Neurospora crassa OR74A: one gene and its partners. The main gene of each other region encodes a partner of the protein of the gene in region 6 in a complex. Links are inferred from orthologs where the notes say so. Each region holds a gene or a part of one and is shown on either strand. Other genes may lie near its edges.

Region 1 (3,207 bases), about 3.8 Mb from region 6:
ACACGCGCCAGGCCGGCGAGACCATCAAGTTCGTCGAGAACCAGCTCGCCGCTCTCGCCAAGGAGATCAACGACTGGAAGAACGTCGTTATCGCGTACGAGCCCATCTGGGCCATTGGCACCGGCCTCGTCGCCACCAAGGAGCAGGCCCAGGAGGTGCACGCCGCCATCCGCAGCTGGCTCAAGCAGAACGTCAGCGACAAGGTTGCTGAGGAGACCCGCATCCTCTACGGTGGCTCTGTCAACGCCAAGAACTGCAAGGACCTTGCCAAGGAGCAGGACATTGACGGTTTCCTTGTTGGCGGTGCCAGCTTGAAGCCCGAGTGTAAGTACTACCTGCCATTGTTGCAACGAGAGGAAGAAAGATGGCTAACATGATATGATGCAGTCGTGGACATCATCAACGCCAACCTGTAAATTACTTGCCCATAAAAAGTTATAGCTTTGCTACAGCCGCAATCATATAGGCTGGGAAATGGTGTTGAGGACACGGCGAAAATATAAAATAGTTAAATGTCCTGATTTTGTTCGATTTGGGATTGAAGAACGTAGTTTCGCTTCATGTAGCCCGTTCATGACTTCTGTGACACCAGATACCGCAACTCCGCGGCTCCTCCATTCGCTCTTAGATGTTCATCCCAAGTTCCAATATCAACAGTCAACCACCAAGCACCAGAAGATAATGTCAGATTCTTTGGAACTGGGGCAACTCATCATGGGAACTCGATAGCTCTGGAAGGACTTGATCACAACCATATAGCCAAACCGAAACCCTTGATACATCCAGAAACCCTTTTCATGTCCTCAATTCATATTCATACATTCAACATGGTATATACAATCCACCTGGTACTGAACCGAGCCAACACCGGCCGAGCACCAAATCCAGCCCAGCACCGATCCAGTCCATTCCAGCACCAGCACCAGCACCTGCTCCTCCCCCTTTTTCCGCTTTATACAGCCATACCCTGCCCATGGTAAGGCGACCAGACACCTCTGACACTGGGGTTCGTGCTGGTGACGGGCTTCTTGAACTTCTGGGGCTTCTCGCCGCTCGCGTCGCGGAGGAGCTCGGCCTTCTTGAGGATCTCGAGCGGCTCCATGTTGCGCACGCAAATGGCCTTGGTGCGCCCGTTGATGTAGTGGCCCATGAGGATCGGGTGCTTGGCGGGCCGGGGAGAGACGACGAACTCGATTTGCGGGTTGGCGGCGGCGAATTTGGGGAGGAGGGATTTGATGAAGCCGCTAGATGGAGGAAGAAGTAAGTGTTAGTGAAAGAGTCTGTCTGCTGAGGTCGCGAAGGGAGACTGGAGGGATAAGGAGGGACGAGGAGGGACGAGGAGGGACGAGGAGGGACGAGGAGGGACGAGAAAAAGGGTATGTAGTGGTGGATGGATGGATGGATGGATGGTCGGGGACGGCGGGATGGTCTCGAGATCTTGGGAGGATGTCGGTTTGGTTGGACGTGTAGAGGTATTGGTATATGTGAAAGATGTTCGATCGGGAATGAGGTTGCGATGTCCATATTCGAAGAATCCTAAACGTACTTCATGCCCCGGGAGCTGCCGGCCCAGTCACTGTAGTGGATGTCCAACTTCTTGCACTGCAAGACGAATGCGCCGACGCCATTCTAGATACAAAACAATCAACGATTAGCATTCTTTTTTTTCTGAAAATTAAAGTTTTTAGTTGCTCAGGCTGCGGTCTAACTTACACGGCCGGCAGAGGAGATCTGCGTCAATGCTTTTACCGTCATTGTTGTGATGCTCTTCTTCTTCTTCTTCTTCGCCGCCGTCCTCGCCTTGCAACAAGTCCGAGTCCACCAGGGTTCATGATCCGGAGGGCGGGTGCGACTTGAACTTCTGCCAGACTCCCGCCCCGTCGCGCGCCGGCACGGCACTGGGGGTGGGGGACCCGCCCAACTGCAAAAGCGGTTGGCAGAATCAATTTCACGCGATTGCACTCCTCCTTGGGTGTGTGCGTAGTGATAACGAAGACGACCTAAGGGTGCACGGTCCCTCTTTCGCACTCAGTCGTTCGGTGGTCGAGCGCGCGAGAAAGCTGCCCAGCAAGAGCTCCAGTCGCTGCGAGGCTGCCAGGCAGTGGACGACACAACACCAGACAGGGCCCTTTGCTGCTCCCGCCTCCCACCCTCTGTCTCTCGTCTTCAGCTGTCCAAGCAAAGTCGCGAAAATGCGGGTTTGACCTTTCTCGCAAACCGACAACACCACATTATCGCCATCACAAGAATTGGCAAACAGTAACAGCGTTCAGCCTTATTGAACTGTTCTCGCCCGGCTTTCCGAACAGTGGATCAAACGCCAGACGACCTACATTTCCTGGTTTCCGACATATCGATTTCATAATTCGACGACAGATAAGATCAACAAAAAAACACCACTTGACCAGCTACAACAGCGACAACGTGAAGCGACAATGACAGACCGGCTCCCGCCTAACCTCCTCGCACTCTTTGCGCCCCGGCCACCTCTGCGCTGGGTGCCGCCCTGCGATGTTGCTCCCGAAGAGCGCAAGTCGGCCTTCATCACCCCCGTTGCCGACTTCCTTCCTGCCATGCAGGCCTACGAGCAAGAATACGAGTACCATCCCACCGAGAGCTGGCTGGAGGCGCGCGACCGCAAGAAGCGCGAGAAGAAGGAAGCTTTGGAGAAGCTGTTGACCGAGGGTCCCAAGAATTGTACGCGGCAAACCCCCAACGTTACGCGCAGTTGTGCTCGCTACTCCTTTACTTGATCATGATCTTGCTGTCGTGCGGCTTGCTAACCGATGGCGTTTATCTGTAGACAACCCTAATGACGATCCCAACATCAGAGGAGATGCTTTCAAGACGTTGATAGTAGCGCGTCTTGACTACCGTGCTGATGAACAGGATCTCGAGCGCGAGTTTAGCCGCTACGGTCCTATCGAGCGTGTGAGTTTGCAAACCCCCCCTCCTCCTATATCATGATTTCACAGCTATGTGTGTGTTAATTGACAAGAACTGACACCAAAAAACAGATCCGTATCATCAGAGATACCCACGCCGATGAGAACCCAAACAAGAAGAAAAAGCCCCATCGTGGCTATGCTTTTGTCGTTTTCGAACGCGAAAAGGACATGAGAGGTAATGACCAGCCCCCCTTGACCCCCCCCCCCCCCCTCTTCTTGACATTCAACCAGCACACACAGACAAGGAAACGCCCGCTGT
Region 2 (3,021 bases), on a different chromosome or scaffold from region 6:
AAGTGACCGTAACCTCTCCGACAATTCGGTATGATAGGTGAGGGCATCGAGAGACCTCGGCCTGTGCTTGTCAACAATAAGCGCCATCGTGGTGTGGTGATATTGTGGAGAGGAAAATGGGTTGACAACGGAAGGGGAAAGAAATGCTGGATTGGAGGTGCATGGGAGACGCGTCGAGTTGACGCGCCGTCCAGAAAATCAATTAACAGATGACGGGGGATGGCCGCACGGACCATATCACCCGCTTATACAGGCCCTGGGGTAGACAGTTGCCCACTTTCGCCATCAGTATTCTAGGCAGCTATCTTGAATCTCTTTGAGTTTTGCAACGTCCGATGCTGGATATTGGATCTTCCATGAACCGACATCTAGTATAGGGCCCATTTCATGGCATGGTTGAAAGGGTATATCTAGGAAGCCAGCATTGCTTGTTGACTCGATGTGGTGCTCTGGCCCATCCAGGTAAACTGGTAGTAGCTTACGGACACATTCTCAGAGCATTGAAATCAAAGTGGTGATGCTTGTTACGTCGTCATAATAATCATGAAATGGCCATGGCAACACTCTTTTGCACATTGGCCCTTCTGTTGTTCTACATAGTGTTACAATTAGAATAGGCTCAGGGTTCTCCACCTCTACGAAGGAGGAGCAGCAGTGCTTGATGTGCTCGCAGCACTCTGGGTAATCTCTGGCATCAACAACTTCTTCCTTGGGTTCTTGAGGTCCTCCACCGTGAGGCCATCCTCCAACTTGGTGATGCCAACCACTGGTGGGTCACCCTTCTTCACAAACTCGTACAGACCTATGACTTGTCAGTTTTCTACTCTTCTCAACCTCGCAAAGATTTTGGGCCAGCATGTGCTGTTATTACCTGGAAGCTTGTGTCCGGCCAAACGGAAGGCATCACGGATGACCTGTTCGTGCAATTGCCCCCTGATCTCGAAGATAATCTGGTTGACGGCAACTCTGGTCGCCCAGTGGTCGAACGAACCCTTACCCTTACCCATACGCATCTACACCGGAAATGCATGTGAGCCTCATGTCCGCTAACAGTCGGCATCCGGCCTTCCCGGGCTGTGGGTTGTTCAGCTGCTCACCTCGTTACCGCTGACGTACACACCGACGTTACAAGCAACGCGCTTGTACAGGCGGTACTTCTGACCACGCAACCTCTGCTTGATGGTGTCCTCGGCGAGCTTGAGCTGTTGGGCGCTAATTCTGCGGTGGTGATCGCGCATGCGCAGGCCGTAATCTCCCCAAACCACTGTTGTTCCTTTGGTCGAACCACCCGTCGGCACTCTGGGCCTTCCCTTCATCATCTTCTTCTTTCTGTTGAGGTTGGGCTCGAGCCACGAACCAGCCTGGATGGCGGTCGCAGAGAATAGGCGGACATGGGAGGCGACGGAAACGGGGGTCGGCGCAATGGGGCGACGGACGGCAGAGGTTGCGAGCGACGCGGCACGGAAGGGAGTCGCCGACGAGGATATCCTAAGGCCCTGGAAGGCGCTGAGGAGCGCCGAGGAAGCGTTGTGCTTCATTGTGTTGAAGGTTTGGGTGTGGACCGGACCGGGGAGGGGACGAGTGGTGGACGGAGGACGGAGGGAGGGTCCAATTGGATGCCGGTCGCCGACGACGATTGATACGGATTCCCCGAAGCAGCGCGCGCACAGAGACGGGGACCGGGCAGAGCGACTACCTGCAATGGAAGGTGCTGCGGGCGCGGACGGGGCACGGACGGCACTTCCAAAAATTGTGACCCACCAAAAAGTGTCGGGTGCCGGCCGCGACATGGAATCTGCCGGACACAGCAGACAAGCGGGACCTGGGACTCATTCATTGACTCCTCACAAGAAATACAGCTGCGTGGGCGTAGCTCAAGGCAGCAAGTTGGCGAATTCTTGTAGGACAAGGCCCCACCAGTCGCGACAGGGGAGCAGAGCCCGGACACAGACTCGCGTCATCCACTTCACCTTCGCGTCTCACTCATCATTCAATTGTTACTTCCGTCTTTACAAGGGACAAGAGTCGACCCGTTAGCTCTTTACCCTTCTAGGCCTTTTGTTCAACAACACTTGTTAGGCAGAAGGACAGCTGCCTGGACAACTCAGACACCAAGAACAAAAGTCCCTACTTCCCAACTCCGCCACTATAAGAAGATGCTTGCTGGTGTCATCTGATTGTTACATCTTCCCAACCTTTTGACACATTCAATTTATCATTTTGTATCCAGTGATTTCTTCTCACATACTCCATCATGCCTGCCGACATTCGCTCGTTTTTTGGTCCAAAAGGTGGCGCGCCGCCTGCTAAGCCGGCAACACCAGCACCCAAGAAGGAAGAGGAGAAGAAGACCCGGGGTAGTAAGCTTGAACCATGATCGCCATCACAAGCTTATCACGTTATATTAACAATCTTGTCGCAGGGCCAAGAAAGGTTGTTGAGGACAGCGAAGATGACGAGGTTGTTGAGTAAGCTTAGTGAAAAGCATCTCTTCTCAGAACTAGCATCTAACCAGCATGTGTAGAGTCAAAAAGCCAACCAAGGCTGCGCCAAAGAAGAAAGTAGCGTAAGTGTTTATGAAACACCTCTCAGTTCCATGTCATCCTATTCCTGCTGACAGACTATCTAGGGAACCCGTAAAAGGAGTTGAAACCGATGCTGCCAAGTACTTTGCAACCTCAAAAACAAAAACTGCTGCTGCGTCCCAGTCAACACCGAAAAAGACACCCGCAAAACCCGAGCCAGAAGAACCAAAAGTAGCGCTTCGAACAAGCCCGCGGAAGAAAGCCACCCCCGCTGCCAAAGCACCAGAGCCTCCCAAGACTACTACAAAGAAGACCTCGACTACGAAGAAACCCACGACGGCCTACAAGAGTTACGACAAGGATGACGATGGCGATGCCTACATGGATGATGAGCACGATGCTGGAGAGGACATATTTGCGGCGGAATTCAAGGGTGGCAGCAAGAGGAAAAAGGACGACGACTATGCCGAGGAGGACAGTGACGAGGAGCTCCTCC
Region 3 (3,470 bases), on a different chromosome or scaffold from region 6:
CTGACATTGGGGAATGGGAAAGTGAAGGCAGATGGACAGCTGCGGTTTAAGCAGGTGCCAAGACCGTTGCAACGGAGAGAGTTGCAAACGCGGGGAAAGAAAGTTGGGGAAGTTCGGGACAAGAGGAAGCAACGGTACGTTCGGGAAGGTGAAAGCGACGCAATAAAGCACATCGATCCGCGTCGGTCGGACGAGAAACTCGCGCCGCTTTGGCGAATGGCAAGGGTTTGGTGATCCTTACCTCCGCATGTCGCCGGACCCCACGCCGACTGCTGAACAGGGATTGAATAATTTCTCACGGCCGCGCTCGGCAGCCGGTGACGGGCGGTCTTGAGGGCGTTTGACAGTCCGGCAGCCATCGATGCGATTGTCGATCTCTTTCTGATGAAGTGTACGTATTGATGGATGAGGGGAGGAGGGTCTCGATACTGCCGGGTGGGGGGGGACAGGACTCCCGGAGATGCCGTCAAAGGTGAACGGGAGAAGAACTTGTCGTTGATGGTGCGCTGACTCGCTCCGAGAGTACCGAGAGGACGGGATGTGATTTAGGGCTGAGTCCAGTTTATGTCAGTTGGGTTGGGTTTTCAAACCGCATTCGACACAGCAGACGCAAAGACACTATGAATGGGGGGGGGGGGGGGGGGGGGGAAAGATAGCACGCAGAAGAACACACGAACTTTTTTTTTTTTTTCTTTTTTTCATCAAATGTAGCAACCCAAACTGAACTAATGAGCTCCGAAACAGGAGCACGGAAAGCGGTGTGGTCTAGAACTTTTTGTTACAAAAGAGTCTTCGTTCCGGTCCGGTTTTGCTCCCGCGATCCATTTCTGGCGGGGTCGCAGAGGTCCGAATCGAGACTACAGTCTTGGTACAGTATGGAGAGTCAATCAAACAAATGCCATATTCTGATTCGGACTGCTATCCGCCAGACGAGGCGGTATCGCTGAGCTGTTTCGTAGCCGCCAAGATAAGCTGCTGCTGTGCTGTGCTGCCTGACAAGCCAACGTTAAATCCGGGCCGTTGTATTCTACCTCTAGAGGTAGCTGCGGCATGTGTAGGACCAGTGGACTATATCTAGTATCCAGGAACTATCCTTTTCGTCGACTTACACAGTTCCCTTCCAGCGCCTTGTTGGCGGGACGGGCATGATTACAGCCACAGTGCTGTCAACGGTCACCATGTTGAAATTACGGTACACAAATATCAAATTTATGTTCTTGAATACATCTCTCTCAGTGTACAAGCCCAGCAAAGGTGTTGATGTTGTCAATAAATTTGTGTGAGATGTTCTGATAGATATCACGCCCGTTGTGTTTTGGCCAAGGCCTCTGGGGTTCCTCGGTGAGCTCTCAGCTCACTACACTCAGCTTGTTCCTCACCTTGCCTTCACCGATCCTACAAGTACACTAAACCGCGGGCAGCCACCTGCCAAGCCCAGCTAGGAGCGCACACGACCCACCCACAGCCCCACCACGGCCCACGCACCCCCGGCGGGCCGGCAGGCAAAATCTACAATCGCAATCGCAAGAAGCGCGGACGACCCGACGTCGATTGGAGAGCTTCCGGCGCAAAGACCGTGCTCCGTGAATCCGCCCGCCCTCCGCCCGCAGTTTGCGAACCTCTCCGTCCGGACGAGCCCCAGCCCGTCGCCCGTCGCCGTACCGCACTTGATCCAGTCCAGTCCAGGCGCGCCGTTGCACACCACAACAGCGCAACAAAAGTCGTTCAACATGGCGAAGAAGGGTAATCGACTCCATCCTCACCCGTGTGTCTGCAATTACTGCTTTGTTTTCCTAAAGGGAAAAGCGATGCAATGGGGAAACCGGAAACCGAAAACAGAAGACGATAGTTGCTGATAGGTAAACAACAAACAGCCAAGTCCCGCATCATTAACGTGCGCCTGATCTCAATGGCCATGACGGGTTATTTCTACACCTTCACCCGTCCCCGTACCTCGCTGCCTATGAGCATGCTGAAATACGATCCGATCGGTATGCGCATATCCTCTCCCCTCATTCCTATCTACCTCTTTCGCTTCCAACCACCTACATGATTGATTCGGCGGACACGACGACACGGGCATGATATGGAACTCTTTTTGGTTGCGGGCTTTCTCGATTTGCACGATTCGAAACACCCCAATACGCTTCGTCGAACGGACCTTGGGAAGCTCGCTTGGGACTGGGACTAGGACTGGGATCAGGCTGGGACGCAACAGTTCAAAGACTCGGACGATGGCATAACGTACGGACCTTCGAGAAAAGAAAAAAAAAAAAGCAACCAGCCAACCAACCGGCCAACAGAGAAGAGAGGAGGGGACGGAAGAAACACTTGCCTACGACAGACAATTTTTCCCAATCACGGATCTCGAAGAGGAAGGAATACCTACTAACCCTTTCGCCTCTCCACCATAGTTCGCCGCAAGGTCCTCTTCCTCGAACAGAAACGCAAGGGCAGGTCATAGATCGTTACTCGCCCCCGGGCCTAACGACCGTCGAACGACCGAGAGCCAGAGCGAGAACGCGGAGCCTGCGATACGGAATCAAAGAGCGTAGCGGCGAAGCAGCGACAAGTAAAAAGCTACAGCACCCCCTCCACGGATTACCACGTCACACCAAGTTACGATTTCGACCGGGTTGTGTTTCAAGCAGATCACCAGCAGACAATGGCCAGTGCTGGCGAGTGAGTTGGAGCTGGAGCTGGAGAGGGGGGTGGACCGGACCGGAACTGGACTGGATATATGGAGAAGAGAGGCGCAAGAATAAGATGGGGTCCCTCGTTCCATCCAGTCTCTGGTCGTGTATTATTACTGTACCACCGATCCATCAGTATATAACATCACCCTGTGAGTTATGGATTGGCACCATGGAGCGTTTGTTGCTTCTTCGCTCTACCGATGGGCCAGGTTGATTAGAGAATGTACAAGTCAAGAGATAAGCACAACGCCCCTCGGCCGTCGGCAATGCTGGGCGTGACCCAGGTTCACTGCCAAGTGGCTCTCCCTTCTCTTGTGTTGTGTGGTAAGGATAACTCTTCTATCGCGATCAGACAGTCTGTCATGACACCTCGACATCTTTGACTTTTCTTGCCATCGTACATCGCTTTATCTCATCTTTCTATATTTTCGTGGAAATCAAACTTTTCATTAGTCACAAGACCCGTCTCCCAACATTTTACAGGCGTTCTTTCACACTCTTCTCGTCGTATACATATTGAATCTCAATTCATTCGAAACACAGTCTCCAATCCACACAAATACGCCATGCATCGACATATGGATCATAACTTATTCCCAGGCGGAGGCAGAGGCAAGTCATCTCCGTCTTCTTTGTTTGCATTCTGCGAGAGGGTCATGGAGTCTTGGGTCTCATCATTGGCGCCCCCGTATCGCGAAAGTGGCTGGGACTGAGACCGTGATTGGGACTCGCCGTTCGTTTGACTGACCGAGTTGGTGTTTTCCGCAGGATCAA
Region 4 (3,571 bases), on a different chromosome or scaffold from region 6:
TTGAAAGATGAAGAAAAAAATGAAGAAATCTCCAGTCCGAGAAAGGATTGTGGGTTGCCAAAAATTCCCCAGCCAGCCGAAGCCAACTGAGAGCGGTCAGGTATGTAGTTTTCAACTAGCAAAAACGCGATCTCGGACGAATCCTCACTGATACGCGTAAAACCCCTGCACTTGGATGGAGGAAAAAAAAAAGGAGAAGGAAAGTTGAAGATTGGGGGAAGGGTTGGCTTGGTTAAATAGGCGCGGGGAGGTCCCGAGCCTTGGTCCGTGCACCAGTGCAAATTCCGGGAGGAATTCCATGGCGGGCCGGCAGCGGGCTGAGGCGGGACTGCCAAGCTGTTCAGGCAGTCGGCTGTTGGCTGTTGGCTGCAACTTCCATCTCGTCCTCTTTCCATCTTCAGTTGTTCACTTCACTGCAGTTCCTGTTGGCAAAGGGGTCATACCGGCAAGGCTGCCCAGGCATTGCCAGCAGTAGTGAGTGGTGAATGAAACACTGCAACTTCACTCCAAGAAATGACATTTTAGTTGCGCATAACTGTGTCACAGTCACAGACTACTATACCGTTCTACTTAACCCCTTGGCTTTTACACAGTTCTCGCTTATTATCACAATGCAGAGAGGGAACAAGGCAAGCCAATTGCTTCCGAATAACAAGGGAAACTCGTGTAGGTACACCGTACAAAGGAACATGAATATTACACTCATCGTGCTGGACAAACCGTCTTCTTCAGTCCGCCCTCCTTGCGCGATTCATATGGTACAAGAGTGTTGCCGGTGGTTGCACACACACATTCACTTCTGCTGCTGCTGCTTCTTCTCCATCTTCTTCCCTGTCTAGTATCTCGGCGCCCTGACGAGCACCTCACCCAGATTGGGACCCTTTTGGCGGAGCCCTTGGACTGCTACACGGGTGACGAGGTCGCTTTGGTGGTCCTCGATCATCTCCTTGAGCGCGCTGCGCTCAATCACTATCCTGCCCGTCTCCAAAAGATCCTTGACATCGACATCCCACAACTCCAAAGCGCGACCCTCGGCACCGGCCAACTCGAATCCAGTGAAGAGGTTGGGGCGCTTGTCGCCCGTGATAAAGGTCGTCCGGCCAGCCTCCTTGCCCCAGTTCAAGCTGGTCATGAACTCGTGAACCCACTTGCGGACGTAGCCGTCCTCAAGCTCACGGCTGAGCTTACCGCCGCCGGCAAGCCAGAGGAAATCGTTGGGAAGGGGGAGGTCGAGGCCGTCCTCGGTGACGATGAGCTCGCCGCGCTTGTAGCGGTAGGACAGCGCGGTGCGCCAGGCCAAATCGTAGACCTTCTTGTTAAGCTTCGTGCTGAAGTCGCGGGGCTTGGGGCCGAAGGTCTTTCCACCACCTTTCATCAGAGGTGACTGGCGGGTACCACGACGGGCGTTACCGGTACCCTTCTGGGGACTCATCTTCTTGTGCGAACCATGAACTTCGTAGCGTGTCTTTGTAGACGCCATGCCCCGTCGTGTCGAGTCACCTTCGTAGATGACGGCCAAGTGGAGGATATCGCGACGCAGCGGGAGGTGAAGGTGACGGGCTGAGTAGGATTCGAGGGAGCGCGGCTCGAGTTCGGGGAAGGAATAGACGGTCACAGGAACGTTGGTGACTGAATCGTGGGTTAGTACCTTTCCAGCGCGGGCGATGTTGTCGAGGTTGGCAGTCGTGTTGGTGCTCATACTGGGTTGCCATGGTTCCGAGACCGATCTTGTGATATTGGCGGCAGGAGGGGTGGCTACGGAGGCCATCGACCGTCTGCAGGGAAGAATAGAGGATTGGCGCATCTAGTGGACATGGTTTGTACTGGTGAGCGAAAGTCGTAGGCGGGTCAGTAGCAAGACGGTGGACATATGGAGGACAAACCGGCAGTGCCCTGCATGACTTGGAAGCAATGCTCAGCGCATTCATGGCCTCGTTGAGGCTCTTGAGACCCTTGCCGGCCATGGCGGCGTTGTGATATGGCAAGGTGACGGGAGTTACAAGTTAATGCAACTCGGATGTAGTGGAGGTCAGGTATGATATGGTGGTGCTCGAGGCAGTTGTTCGCGGGAGGAAAAGAGAGACTAGCAACCACGGGCCTGTGCGGACGGAAACGTGGAGCGCGCTTCGGGGCGAGGGAGGGACAACGGAACGGGACCGAGACGGGGGCTCTGACGGGATATGCGGTGGTCGTCGCGGGCGCCGGTCCTCCCAGTCAAGTCGCAACGATTCGGCCGACGAGGGGACTGGACGGAGTCTGGAGAAAAAAGATCTGGAGTGCGGGCAACGTGCACGTACAGTGCGCTGCAGCCATCGAGTACCCGTTTCTGGCGAGCTTTCTCGCGGGGCACGCCCGCTACTCTGCAACCCCCACTATAAGTACTTCCAATGAGCGCACTGTGCTGCCGGCCCCGGGGTCCACGAAATTTTGGCCGCAGTTCGAGTCCGGGCAGGTGGGCTGCAGCATGGAACGAATTGAAGGACCAACGAACCCTCCGTCCCGTCCCTGTCCCGTCCTTGACCCCGTCCTCCCCGTCGACGAAACCTTGAGTGCAGCTCCTCTCGATTGAGAGCGATCCCGCACTTCCAATACTCTCCCCTCCGGCCCGCCTGCACACATTCCCACCCGCCATGTCGACGTGTCAGCAGGTCGCGCGGCCACTCGTCCGCTGTCTCCGGCAAACCGGCCCCGGCGCTGCGACATGTTCGACCCGGTCCGTCGCCGTTGCCGCCGTTAGGCCCTTCTCCTCGACCCCGATGCGCAAAGAGGAGGGCGCCACCACCACCACCACCACCTCTCCTGTCGACTCCACCACAACACCACCACCCCTTCCTTCGGCAACCGAGGCTAAGGCGACAGTAGCAGACACAGTAGTCGGAGGTCCAGAGCTTGGGTCGCGAAGGAGAAGGGCCGCCCTGGCCACCACCGGCAACCTCCCCTTCGAGCAGCTGCCGTACCAGTGTTTCCAGGATGCGCGCAAGATCCTGCAGCAGGACCGCGCGGCCAAAATCGCCCAGATTGTCAAGGAGACGGAGAAGATCAAGCTGATCGAGGCGCGGGATGCCAGCGAGTTCGAGGGCGGCGAGGCCGCCAAGCAGACACGGATCAAGAGCTTGAGGAAGTATATTGAGGAGCTCAAGATTCTGGCCGACATCAACGACCCCGAAGTGAAGAGGCGTTTCGAGGATGGCAGAGGTTTGTATTTTCCTTTCCTTTTCTTATGACGTTTACTCCGCTTCGCAAGTCTCAGTCTAACGAACACGTTTCTCTGCCTCCAGGTGACATGACCAAGCCCGTCTACCGTTTCATGGCCGAGCGCCGCTGGCGTTCCATGGACTACAAAATCATTGCGCAGCGTATCTCGCAGTTCCACGTCGTTCCCGACCTTCTGCCCGCCTTCGACCCGACCATGGACGTCAAGCTTTCCTTCCGTGGCTACCAGGTTTCCCCGGGAGCCATCCTCGACTCGCGCGTGACCGAGGTTGCACCCACACTTCGCATGCAAGTCTTCGACAAGGGCGAGCGCCTCCTCACTGTCGTCGTCATCGACTCGGACGTTCCCGACGTCACG
Region 5 (4,145 bases), on a different chromosome or scaffold from region 6:
TACCTTAACAATATGCCAATTCTATAGTTGTCAAAGTCTCCTTCATTGATCCCTTTGCATCAGGTCGCAAGTTCTGATGAACGTGTTTTTGGAAACGTCGTGACAAAGTACCAGGAGGGGGTGAGAAAGTGAGGACGCAACTACAGAGAGAACAGTCCACATTTCATCTCCCCTCTCACCAACTTCATCTTCCTCTCACGTATAAGATAAACAAGAGCAATGTGAAGAAAGCACAAGGCAAAATAGATACTAAACAACCTCTAGTTTGGATGAATGGAAGGCGCGCAAGCTTGGGAGGAACTTCCAGGCTCGATCTCGTCGTCCGGTCTTTTACTCTTGCCGGTTGCGTATTCCCATTTCTTCCTTTACGATGCTTGTTATACAAAACAAGGGCTTACACATCCTGGAATTGTACAATGCGTGTAAATTGCGTAGTACCATATTCTCTCTTACACAGCCTTCTCCTCATGCCAGAGCAGTCAATACGTAGAGGAAGGATTTATCATGTCATGTACTTCGTTGATGCCTCGTAAAAAATTTGACTTCTTAATGCTACACATACAGACGATGATCTTCCTTCTCCCTGGCCTCGGCTACTTTTTTGGTATTATACACTGAGAAAGAAGGACACAGATGCCACCCCGACGAGGGTTGTGTCTCTCTTTGTCGAAAGCAGAGCCAAGCAGCCACCATCCAGACCCTCTTCATTCCCCGTTCCGTCCCAACCCCCCTTTGTATTGGTATATGTGGCGGGGGTGTGCGTGTGTGTACATGTATGTCCGTTGCGCGCAAATCTGTATACAACATCTCGTCTTTGGCAAAAAGAGCAAGAAACAATGGAAGGAAAGGGAGTGACTGGATGGGAGAGGACCATCCATTTAATATCCCCTTCCTTCGCAGGACGGAAATTGCCCGCTCTCAACAGGACAGGACAAGAGTGGAAAGGTAAGCTGAGCTTTTAGACCACACCAACAAAATCCACTCGTTGTTTTGTTTCCCTCTCGATCCTCTTGCGTCGATTTCCACAAGGGGAACCTATCCCGAGTTGATGGGCCGCACAACCAATAAAACCGAGAGTGTAAGCAGGCCATCTGCGACTCTCTTTTTACCTTTCGTTTCATACACTTCCTAAGTTCTCTACTGCCCTGCCGTACTGTCCGCCGCCATGCTCCGTGTTTCAGCCTCCTCATTTAGCGGGAGATAACCTCACCCATATCAATGTATGCTGGCGTCCAGGGCTTGGCACCCTCCTCCAGCATATCACTGGGTACCCGAGGGTTCTCGCCAGGGCTGTAGAGATACCAAGCCTTCAGGGCGTTCATGGCGGCCTTGAAGCGGGCGTGGTCGAGAGAGGAGGCGGCGCCCTCGCCGAGCTTGTCGCTGCCGCTGTATATACCGACAACAAAAACGGGGGTGCGCGACTGGCGACCCGTCTCGGAGAGGAGACGAGCCACGGGGGGCTCGAAATCCTCACGGGCGCAGAGCGCGGCGAGCTCGCGGGTGGGGTACTTGAATTCGAAGAGCTTGGCAATGTCGAGGGTGCGCGACATGATGTGCGCCTTGACAAAGGCCTTGGCGGCCTCGCGGCCGCAGTGGGCGTAGATGGCACCGACGACGGCGCGCACAAAGTAGGCGTGGGCCCGCTCAGCAGCGGCCCGGGTGTCGGGGTTGCCGTAGCGGTCGTAGCTCACGTCCTGGTCCTGCTCATTAGCGACCATCTCGGCCTCCTCCTCGTCGGGAGTCTTGTCCTGATCCTGCTCTTCCATCGCCTTCTCCAGATCGGCGGCAACCTTGGGGTCGCTGCGCACGACATCACCAAAGTCGTCGTCGAGAACGACACGCGAGGCCATACCGCGACGCCACTTGAACTTCTCGAGGTAGGCGAGCTCTGTACGCTTGTAGCCGAAATTTGTGATGGCGACGCCGGGCTTAAGGGCATCGAACTGCAGAAGACCGGGATCCACCTCGCCGCCGGGCACCGCGGCGGTATCAACACCCCATGACCGCGCAATCTGGAGCAAGGGCTTCGGTCCGGCATAAGCCTTCATGGCACTGAAGAGAATTCCCTGGGGTAGACGGGGGTATTTGCAGAGGAGCCATTCGGCAATATGGTAGTTGATGAGGGTCTGGCCAACGAAGGCGAGGTTGGCGTTGTTGAACTGCGGGTTCTCGTCGGCCGAGGCGTCGACCAGTGTCCTTGCCAATGTCTGTAAGGGGATCTTGGGAGAAAGATTCAAACGGGCGTGGAGGGCGGCCAGTTTGGCCGAGGTCAAGGCCCGTTCGGGGAGGGGCGACGGTAGGGACTCGGCCGCGGGGGGGAGGGGCTCAAGCGGGGGGAACCGATCATTGTTGAGATCGTGGGATGCATCGTGCTGAGCGAGGGCAGCTGTCGATTGCGATCGCACCGAGATTGCAGATCGGGATCGGATGGCGGCAGTGGCGGGCGACACTCCGGAGCGAGCGGCGACGAGCAGCCGGCTCGTCAAGCTGGGCGTTGCTATCCTCTTCATGGGCGATATATTTGATGGGTGATGGTCGGCTCGACAACCGGGTGTTGACGTGCTGGGGCCCAGGTTCCGTAAGTGTGCGCCGTCTGGAGGCCCTGCCAAGAAAAGGATGGAGTGAGGGAAATCGGACGGGCAGGTGGTGAGCCGGTGGTCGCGGGGTGGGAAGCTACTCGGGATCCCGGTCGGAGTCGCGCGTTGATCGGATGGGTTCTCGTTCAGACTCGGCCGGCCGTCGAACACGGGTAGAAAAAAAAAGTTCTCCAATCTGAACGCTCACCACCCGTACACTAGACAAGCCCACCACCCAGAGCCGTGAATCAGTGCTCAAGCGCAGGGGTTACTCCCCCAAGACCGAGACATAAAAGCCGGCTGACATGATTCGTTGTTGGCCCAGTGAGGGTCCCCACAAGATCCATCTTCGACCCCAATCCACTATCTGCGCTGTCTGTTTAGCATACGGTGCACTGTGGTGGACAAGCGGGAGCTGCCCGCCCGCCGCCCGCCGCCCGTCTGTCGCATGCGCCCTCGGCCCCAGTTAGGACGAGTGACATGGTGACTTTCAGGCCTGGATGGTTGATGCGATTTAGCCCCTCGTCAGCCTGTAGGCGGATTCATCATTCGTCCTTCTATCCAATTGTTCCCGCTGAAGCATCACCACTATTGTGCCGTCGTTCGCAGTGCATCGCAAAGTTGACAGTACAAACCGATCTTGCTTAACTGCGAGGTGGAAAGAATCATTCCTCGTTGAACGTCCAACCTACCTCACCACATATCCCAAAACTTCATCACAATGGTGCGTATCCACCCGATTGCTTAGAATAGCCATCATCACTACTATGTTTTGTGTCTGCTAACTCTCTATTTTTCCTGTCTATAGGGCGGCGGTCCCCAAGTTCCGTGAGTTTCATCGCCCTCGACATGCGCAAACCCTCCGCGCATTCTGTCCAACCCAGCCTGCGTTGTGTCATGGATCCGTCCTAATCGTTGCCTCGCCCTTCACTCCAGCTACCCCAAACACGTCTGGTCGCCTTCGGGTGGTTGGTACGCCCAGCCGGCCAACTGGAAGAAGAACACGGCTGTTCTCGGTGGCGTCGTCTTCCTCATCACTGCCGCAGTCTGGAAGCTTAGCGCCGAGAAAGAGTACCGTCACAAGATGCCCGAGCCTGGTCGCTTTTATCCCAGCAGATAGTATGTCCTGGCAGACAGACCCCCATCCAAATTTTTATACATGCGTAACGTTTTCCGCGAGCGCAGACCGCGGGGATGTTCTTAAGCTGACGCAACCGATATTACCTCCACTAGCTGGAGCAGACAGATTATCGAGTATGAGCGGGCGCAAAAGGAGAACGGGACGACACAGGAGAAAAAGTAAATTTGGGCATAGGCCCTGCCACCCCGGCCGTTTGGTCATACAGTACATGGCTTCCAAAGGCTTGATGGAATAACAGGACATCTTGGCTTGGTTGAGGCCGGCCGGTTGGTGGTAGTAATGCAATATTCGGAATACATTCAACGTCGGTTACCCTCCGCTGGCCGTCTTGCGTTGGTGCTCCAGAGCCTGGCTACGTCGTGAATAAAGCTAACTTTGATGTGGATCAGTTCTGTAATGGATTATAGAGGAAACTACCTCTATTCTTA
Region 6 (3,521 bases):
AGCCAGAAGAAGAAGAAGAAGAAAAAGAAGAAAATGAAACACAGAAATGAAGAAAAAAGTTGAAGCAGGTCGTGATGTTGACAACGACAAAGTTTGGTCTCTCCCGCTCGAGGAAAGAAAAGTCAAGATGCATCAATGATGACGCCGCGGCGGGCAGAGTGGGTGGAGGGCACGCGCCGACTCCAAAGCTGACACAATCCCGTTCGGGAGGGCTGCATACAGTGGCTTCAGTGGACGGTTCCCGCTGTGGAAGCTGGGCATGGTGATTAGGGGCATTAGACTGGTCCGTGCATACTCCACTTTCTTTAAGCCGAAGGTATCGAAAGTCACCCGTGTAATTACCGTAATTACAAGACATATGGTCGGCATATGGTTGACATATGTCAATATTAACGATTCACATTCACATGCGGGGGCCTCTCACCGGCCCCCTGCACCCCCGGAGCTAACCCTAACCCTAACTAACCCTAACTAACCCTAACTAACCCTAACACTAATTGGTAATTTGCAGAGAAGTCGGGTATTGACGGCTGTTTTCGGACGTAATTACAAGCTGGTATGGAGAAGGTACCAAAAGCGACCTGGCACGTGATCAGACCCATATTTTCTAATGCCCCCATTCACCGTCCCCGTGGAAGCTGCCCTGGAAGGAATGGCCGGGGACCGCCCAGGACCGGGACTTGACCGGGGTCAGCTTGCGGGATTGACATGTCACTGGCCAATGGCTGTTCTTCCGACTGCCAGGTACGGGACAGCAAGTCTTCGAGATCCGTCGTTTGGACCATGTCAACACGCAGCCAAGTGATATTTACTTTATAAAGCCCATCTTCGAACTACGATGGATCGCAAAAGCAGGAACACGTCAATCAAGGGAGTTTCATGATTCACCTGCGTTGTCAGCAAGTGGAGTGCTGGCCGCATGTGGGAATCCACTCCCGTAGGTGAGACCTGTATGATGTACAAGGACCCAAATAGAACTGATCCGAGGAGCAAGACGCTGGACTGACAATACGCGGATGATAATAATACAACACAAAGCACAGAGCCATGAACGGGCCCAGTACCTATCATACAACAACGAGGAAGAGCGCAACAACGAGTCTCGGAAAAACCGCCATCCCAGGCAATGTTCGTGTTCATTAGAAGAGCTTCTCCGACGCCACATCCCCGGTCTTGCTGGCCTTGACCTTGTCGGCCCTGACCACCTTGACCTTCTCGCCGCCCGTCGGTACCTTGAAGTACAAACTGGGCGACTCGCCAGGCGCAAGCTGGTGGCTGAGGTAGCCCCTATGCGCCGGGTCTCTGTAGTACTCAATATCCCAACGGCTGGTCGGGTCCGGCAGGCGGTAGTACTTCTTCTTGAGCGATCGCGCCTGCGCCAGGATCTCCTCCACGTGCTCCTTGCCCACCGGCAGCGGCTTGTCGGTATGAAGAGACTTGCCCTCTACCAGACGCTTGAGCGATTCCTTGGTGTAGAATCGGGTGACGATCTTGCCGCCGGCAGCCTCGATGGCCTCAATGGCGGAGGCGGACGCGCGCGATACGGTGATGGTGACGGGGATCTTGAAGCTCTCCTTGCCGCGGCCGAGAAGCTTGATGCCGTCCTTGATGCTGCTGCCAATGATGCCGGACTTGATGATCTCCTTGGGGGTAATGGGCTTCGTGGGGTCGATACGGCCGGCTTCGATCCATTCCTGAAGCTTTTCGAGGTTAAGCTCGGACATGTCGGCAGCGAACCTATGAAAGACACAAATGGTTAGTCTCCATCATGTATCTGGTAGGTATAGGTTATCGGATAGCATGCTGGAGAGTTCTTGGCCATGGCGCATAGCAAGCGAGGTAGGGAAGTCGGGACGGCATACTGGTTAACGAAACCCTTGCGGCCGTGAGAGACGATCAAGGGCGTCTGACCACCCTGGAACCATGGCTTAACATGACCGTGGGCCTTCTGACCCTTGGTACCGCGACCGGCAGTCTTGCCATAGCCGGACGAAGGACCGCGACCCTTGCGAATGCGCTTGTGGTAGGCGCCCCGGTTGTCGGACAGGCTGGCGAGGATGGATGCGCTCCTGGTCTGGACGGAGAGGGCAGCAAAGAGCGAAATGAGGGACGACGTCGGCGACGAGGCTGGGACCGAAGGGCGGGCTGTGAGGGAGGCCTGGCAGCATCGCGCCGCCTGGGCGAGCGGTAACCTGGGAGGCATGACGGAGGCGGAGGACACGGGAGTGGGTTGGGTCTGGGTCGGGCAGTCTTCCGGATTCCGTTCCTCACGGCAACGGCACTTCCCCGAAAACAAAAGTTCAGGACCCGCGCCCAGCCAAATTCCGACACCTGCGTCGCGGGGGTGGACCGTGCGCCCTCGTTGGTCTCGGTCAATTGCGAATGGGCGGCTGAGTCAGCAGCTGGTCCACATCCGACGTCCTTCGCCAAGGGACCGTGATGCTCCAAAATATCCATGTTCGATATCACTTACACGGGATATGCAAGAACATGTCAAAGGTTCAGTGCGGTGAAAGTCCCTAAGAGTGATTGTACCGCGGCTTAACAGGCTGAAGAACATCTGGTGCGAGTTTAGGGAATTTTTCCACCCAGTCGGAATGATCATAAATTGAGTGTCCCGAGGCCATTGGAGGTGCGTTGAGAAAATATTGTGCAAGTACAACTGTGGGATGCTTAAAGTATTGCCTTTGAGAGCAACGCAAAACAGGCAGCCAAGAGCAGCTCATACTAGAAACCTATTATAGATGGGTCTCAACTGCGACCTACGCTAGAATTACACAGAAGTCCTGAAGTAGGGCGTGTCGAAGGGGGTTCTGTGTCAGCCATGAGCCAATCGAGCTGGTGGGGTTCGGGAGTGTTGAGAATGGCATGAGTGACATACACGCTGGAATTGCCTGAATGTTACTTTGATTTACTGAAGGTGTTTGTATGGCTGATAGAAAGAATGTAATTGTTAAGCCTTCTTTGCTGTCGGATAACGTTTACTGCAGAACAGAGCAAGGGACAGCGTGCAGTCATTTCGCGGGATAAACATAACCGATCGTGATGGAACTTTCCAAGTCAAGCAGAGAAGCGCCGCTCCGAAATGGCTTTTCACTCAAGTCTGTCTGAATTTCAAGCATGGAATGTCAGTCCCAAGCCCAAACCACGCGCCAGGTACCTGCCACCGCTCCTGCCACCGGCAATCGGTCGGCACGCCCTTCACCGACGGGAACATCGGATGACAAGATCCCTTCCCGCCCAGGCCGCAAACCTCTAGTACCCTCTGCTGTAGCCTACAGGTATTATATAAGGTCGGGTTCCCTAACTGATCTCTCTGGCATAACGGAACTCTGTGATCTTTTGGCACAGTGGTTCCCGTTGATGAAAATGTGTGGCTTTTTCGTAGGTCTGCAGTTGGGGTATTGTCGTTCGTTCTACAAACTTACCTGGGCGACCGAGCTTTTTGCTCTTCATGTCAATTGGACAGCCTCTCAGGGCCTCAAAAATGTGGTCTCTCAATATTTGCTTTCTGTCTTGGG
Region 7 (3,158 bases), on a different chromosome or scaffold from region 6:
TCATCACCGGCAAGACTGCCCCTGGCGGTGTCTCCACCACCAACGTCACTGTCCAGCACTCCAGCAGCCGTGTTGCCCCTGACCAGCTTCCTCCCCTCCCTCCCAACGAGAATCTCCCCCCTGCCCCTATCGATAGCTCCATCGACAAGTGGTTCTTCATCAGCGGTGCTTCCGCTTAGAGAGTTCGTTTGTTGAGGTAGAATAAAGATAATTTATTGGCACTTTGTTGTATTGGTCAATTCGTCGTGAACAATCCTCCATGGTGTTACCCTCATGCGTTGTTTTGCGTAGAGTCGAACGTCTTTGCAACAAGGTATGCGCGGTCAGAGATTGGCCATTTCTGAGGCTGTAGTCCATGCCGTGGGATAGGGACTTGTCGAGGAGATGCTCGACATTCTTGCGCCATGAGTTTCGCCGTTGAAATATACCGATACCGTTGATGAATTCCCCATCGAAGGAAACACGGTCGCCAAAACAAAAACAAAAAAAAAAAAAAAGGCCGATCTCAACTTTGACTTTGTCAAAATGGGCGTACCGTGATGTGTGTGAATCAATCCATGGCAGAGGTGCTATATACGCATGTCTATAACAACAGGTACCCAAACTGCCTTGCCAACTGAAAATCGCCGGCCCCTTAACGCCTCCCAATGCTGTTGGTGTACACTTACAACCTCTTGCCCAATACAAATACAGGTTCATATCTTTTGTTGTTGTTTTCTTCTTTTTGGCTGGTAAGGCGATCTTACAGATCTCTCAGAGAGGTCGTCAGGTATCCGGCTCCAAGCTCGCTGGCTTTACCCAGGTGATTCGAATGTGCCTTTAGATATCCAGACTTTTCCTCTTCTCCTCCCGGTCAATCGTCATTTTGGTACCACGGACCAAAGCCAAGTAGTCTGGGTATCAAGACAAGATGGGCTTTCGTCGCTCTTCCCGTGGCTTTTCCCTCCTTTTTCCTAGTCTCAGTCTCCCTCGTTTTACCCGCAAAGTTCGATTGGTGGATCAAAACACAACAAGGGCGTCTCGAGATTGCTGGGTTTTGAAGAAGAAAAGAAAGACAGAGATTCGGTTAACCGTCGTTCAAGTCGGCCTGCTTCTGAAGGATACGAGAGTGGCGATCCACCTCCTCGACAATGCTTTTGATGCCCATGTTCTCAACGTCGAGGTTCATTTCCTTGCCGTCCTCTGTTTTTTTTCAAATACGTTAGACTACGGCTTGATTCACAGCTAACGACTCTTGATTGCCTTCCAGCCGGAATGATCCAAATTGCAACAACCAACTGCAACGGCGGTCCGTCGATGTGTGACAGAGTTGCAAGTGACAAGAAGAGAGACATTGGGAAAACGTACTGAACTTGACGTAGAGCAAAGGAGTCTCGGTGGAATTCCGCGGCAGAAGCTGGGTGGTGATGTTCATGCCATTGGAGCGGGCGTTGGGAGGGAGGAAGGAGAGGAAGAGCCGGGCGGCCTTGGCCTTGGCCGAGAAAGGGTTGAAGCGCGTTGATACGTCGGTGATGAAGCGGGTGAGCATGTTGGGCGAGGTCTCTCGGGTGGTGGTGGTGGTGACCTGAGGTCGTGTTGGGGTTGGGTTCGGGGAGGAAGAAGAAGAAGAAGAAGAAGCAGGAGGAACGCGGAGGCCTGACTGCGACTTTGCGAATTTGCGACGACGGGACTGCACTGCACACCGGACGGGGACGGATACGGAGACGCGGGAGACGGGAGACGGGTCTCTGTGGAGGATCGGACGGGGTACGTAGCTTGTGTGTCGCGATTTGGACTTCGATTCGGTCTTCGTGCCTGGCGCCGGCCGGCAGCGTGGAGGAGGGATGCGATCAAAAATTACTGGAGGTACGTACCGATTGCGCCGGGGACCGGGAGGGGTGTTTTTTGTAAAACGGAGAATGCGGGACGGCGCGTGCTACGTGTGAGAGATGGGCTGTGATTGGTTGGGAGCCAACTGGGATCAAACGGTGTCAGGCTCGATTTTGCATTCATATTTACACTACATCAGATCAATTGACATAATACATCTTTTTAATCTTCTGAACGGGAAGAGAATCACTTCTGGCCTTCTATTACATTGTGTTAGTCTGTAGCCCTGAGTGTGTAAGTTTGTGCTTTGTTCCTTCAGCGCAACAGTACGTACTCCCATTTGCCCCAGCGAGTTGTAACTTGAACTCCGTTACCGAATTCCGCATGTGATCCGTTTTCATTGACCTTGAGGATGACGTTGCAAGAGCCACGCCCACCGAGAACTTCCATTGAACATCGCTACAGTGCTCTCCTTTCAGGCCAGGTTTCCACTAATTATCAACAACAGCACAGCTGCTGATCAACACCAGGTACCTAAGTGGGATCCGACTACGATCCATGGAAACCATTTGTTACACATCCACCTTTTTCCAACACATATCTATCTACCTTTACCGAGTCAACTCCCTACGAATGCAATACCGACATAATACAACAAGTCACTAATGTCAACATTCGAAACGCTTCAAGAGCGGCTCACGGCCCTCCAAGAGACGACCGGCCAGCTTAAGGACCTCATCGAGCGTCTCGCCACGCTCAAATTCGAGCCCGGTTCCGTTCCTTTGAGCAACAGCATCAGCAGTCTCGCGAACACTGGCGCCGATGGAACCACCAACAGTGAGGCCGCTGACTTGAGCGCCGAAATCAGCCAGGTCTTGCGCGAGGAGGAGGAGGATTTGGAGTTGCTGCAGGAGGAGATTATCGACTTGCGCTCCGGCCGCCCAGGGAGTGAGGCGGAACATCAAAAGACGAGGTTAAAGGAGGGCGCGCAACGCTTGGCTGCCGAGCTTAAGGGGTGAGTTTTGTTTCTCATCTTTTCAGCCTGGATGGTGATGACGATGATGAAGATGAAGATAAACAACGTACCTAACAAAATTGCGTCTCAAAAAAATACAGCTGTCGAACCTCCTTCCGCAAAGCCCAACTCGCGGCGCGCCGCAACCTTGAAACCGCCCAGCGCCTCGAGCGCCAGCTCCTCTTAGCCTCCTACGTTGCCGTCGCCGCCAACCTCGCCGCATCAGACCGCGGATCAGGCGCCTCAACACCCGTATCTACTGCTGCTGCCCCCAGCGGTGGTGCTCAACCAACCTCGTCGACGACGTCTCCACCCCCTCTCTCAACCCCCGCCG

What was found.
Region 1: NCU05714 (region 6) and NCU07549 share a complex: the UniProt entries of both Saccharomyces cerevisiae proteins name them as parts of the mitochondrial large ribosomal subunit. The link is inferred for Neurospora crassa OR74A from reciprocal best matches to the Saccharomyces cerevisiae genes MRPL10 and MRPL51.
Region 2: NCU05714 (region 6) and NCU06768 share a complex: the UniProt entries of both Saccharomyces cerevisiae proteins name them as parts of the mitochondrial large ribosomal subunit. The link is inferred for Neurospora crassa OR74A from reciprocal best matches to the Saccharomyces cerevisiae genes MRPL10 and MRPL16.
Region 3: NCU05714 (region 6) and NCU17114 share a complex: the UniProt entries of both Saccharomyces cerevisiae proteins name them as parts of the mitochondrial large ribosomal subunit. The link is inferred for Neurospora crassa OR74A from reciprocal best matches to the Saccharomyces cerevisiae genes MRPL10 and MRPL39.
Region 4: NCU05714 (region 6) and NCU01474 share a complex: the UniProt entries of both Saccharomyces cerevisiae proteins name them as parts of the mitochondrial large ribosomal subunit. The link is inferred for Neurospora crassa OR74A from reciprocal best matches to the Saccharomyces cerevisiae genes MRPL10 and YML6.
Region 5: NCU05714 (region 6) and NCU08299 share a complex: the UniProt entries of both Saccharomyces cerevisiae proteins name them as parts of the mitochondrial large ribosomal subunit. The link is inferred for Neurospora crassa OR74A from reciprocal best matches to the Saccharomyces cerevisiae genes MRPL10 and MRPL3.
Region 7: NCU05714 (region 6) and NCU00952 share a complex: the UniProt entries of both Saccharomyces cerevisiae proteins name them as parts of the mitochondrial large ribosomal subunit. The link is inferred for Neurospora crassa OR74A from reciprocal best matches to the Saccharomyces cerevisiae genes MRPL10 and MRPL44.

What each region holds. Positions count from the first base shown.
Region 1 is NC_026503.1:4,406,055-4,409,261, forward strand, and holds NCU07549 (mitochondrial 54S ribosomal protein MRPL51), read right to left. Parts: upstream 1,937-3,207; 5' UTR 1,756-1,936; coding exon 1,714-1,755; intron 1,630-1,713; coding exon 1,547-1,629; intron 1,245-1,546; coding exon 953-1,244; 3' UTR 501-952; downstream 1-500. Other genes in the region: NCU07550 (triosephosphate isomerase), read left to right, coding at 1-324, 388-416; NCU07548 (hypothetical protein), read left to right, coding at 2,436-2,697, 2,804-2,931, 3,018-3,123. UniProt on the Saccharomyces cerevisiae protein: Component of the mitochondrial ribosome (mitoribosome), a dedicated translation machinery responsible for the synthesis of mitochondrial genome-encoded proteins, including at least some of the essential transmembrane subunits of the mitochondrial respiratory chain.
Region 2 is NC_026502.1:2,003,427-2,006,447, forward strand, and holds NCU06768 (mitochondrial 54S ribosomal protein YmL47), read right to left. Parts: upstream 1,775-3,021; 5' UTR 1,539-1,774; coding exon 1,098-1,538; intron 1,014-1,097; coding exon 872-1,013; intron 803-871; coding exon 636-802; 3' UTR 501-635; downstream 1-500. Other genes in the region: NCU06769 (activator 1 38 kDa subunit), read right to left, coding at 1-87; NCU06767 (replication factor C subunit 1), read left to right, coding at 2,255-2,360, 2,423-2,468, 2,525-2,566, 2,630-3,021. UniProt on the Saccharomyces cerevisiae protein: Component of the mitochondrial ribosome (mitoribosome), a dedicated translation machinery responsible for the synthesis of mitochondrial genome-encoded proteins, including at least some of the essential transmembrane subunits of the mitochondrial respiratory chain.
Region 3 is NC_026506.1:2,292,454-2,295,923, forward strand, and holds NCU17114 (hypothetical protein), read left to right. Parts: upstream 1-1,441; 5' UTR 1,442-1,730; coding exon 1,731-1,743; intron 1,744-1,874; coding exon 1,875-1,991; intron 1,992-2,414; coding exon 2,415-2,464; 3' UTR 2,465-2,970; downstream 2,971-3,470. Other genes in the region: ala (alanine aminotransferase), read right to left, coding at 242-359; NCU03974 (hypothetical protein), read right to left, coding at 3,280-3,470. UniProt on the Saccharomyces cerevisiae protein: Component of the mitochondrial ribosome (mitoribosome), a dedicated translation machinery responsible for the synthesis of mitochondrial genome-encoded proteins, including at least some of the essential transmembrane subunits of the mitochondrial respiratory chain.
Region 4 is NC_026505.1:4,618,903-4,622,473, forward strand, and holds NCU01474 (60S ribosomal protein L4), read right to left. Parts: upstream 2,357-3,571; 5' UTR 1,965-2,356; coding exon 1,884-1,964; intron 1,805-1,883; coding exon 836-1,804; 3' UTR 501-835; downstream 1-500. Other genes in the region: NCU01473 (mitochondrial large ribosomal subunit YmL35), read left to right, coding at 2,631-3,195, 3,279-3,571. UniProt on the Saccharomyces cerevisiae protein: Component of the mitochondrial ribosome (mitoribosome), a dedicated translation machinery responsible for the synthesis of mitochondrial genome-encoded proteins, including at least some of the essential transmembrane subunits of the mitochondrial respiratory chain.
Region 5 is NC_026504.1:2,488,259-2,492,403, reverse strand, and holds NCU08299 (mitochondrial 54S ribosomal protein YmL3), read right to left. Parts: upstream 2,801-4,145; 5' UTR 2,511-2,800; coding exon 1,191-2,510; 3' UTR 412-1,190; downstream 1-411. Other genes in the region: NCU08300 (uncharacterized protein), read left to right, coding at 3,298-3,300, 3,385-3,404, 3,513-3,695, 3,810-3,879. UniProt on the Saccharomyces cerevisiae protein: Component of the mitochondrial ribosome (mitoribosome), a dedicated translation machinery responsible for the synthesis of mitochondrial genome-encoded proteins, including at least some of the essential transmembrane subunits of the mitochondrial respiratory chain.
Region 6 is NC_026503.1:604,545-608,065, reverse strand, and holds NCU05714 (mitochondrial 54S ribosomal protein YmL10/YmL18), read right to left. Parts: upstream 2,329-3,521; 5' UTR 2,204-2,328; coding exon 1,863-2,203; intron 1,738-1,862; coding exon 1,140-1,737; 3' UTR 501-1,139; downstream 1-500. UniProt on the Saccharomyces cerevisiae protein: Component of the mitochondrial ribosome (mitoribosome), a dedicated translation machinery responsible for the synthesis of mitochondrial genome-encoded proteins, including at least some of the essential transmembrane subunits of the mitochondrial respiratory chain.
Region 7 is NC_026501.1:6,595,368-6,598,525, reverse strand, and holds NCU00952 (mitochondrial 54S ribosomal protein YmL44), read right to left. Parts: upstream 1,823-3,158; 5' UTR 1,529-1,822; coding exon 1,348-1,528; intron 1,183-1,347; coding exon 1,067-1,182; 3' UTR 501-1,066; downstream 1-500. Other genes in the region: NCU00951 (inorganic pyrophosphatase), read left to right, coding at 1-179; NCU00953 (hypothetical protein), read left to right, coding at 2,475-2,824, 2,926-3,158. UniProt on the Saccharomyces cerevisiae protein: Component of the mitochondrial ribosome (mitoribosome), a dedicated translation machinery responsible for the synthesis of mitochondrial genome-encoded proteins, including at least some of the essential transmembrane subunits of the mitochondrial respiratory chain.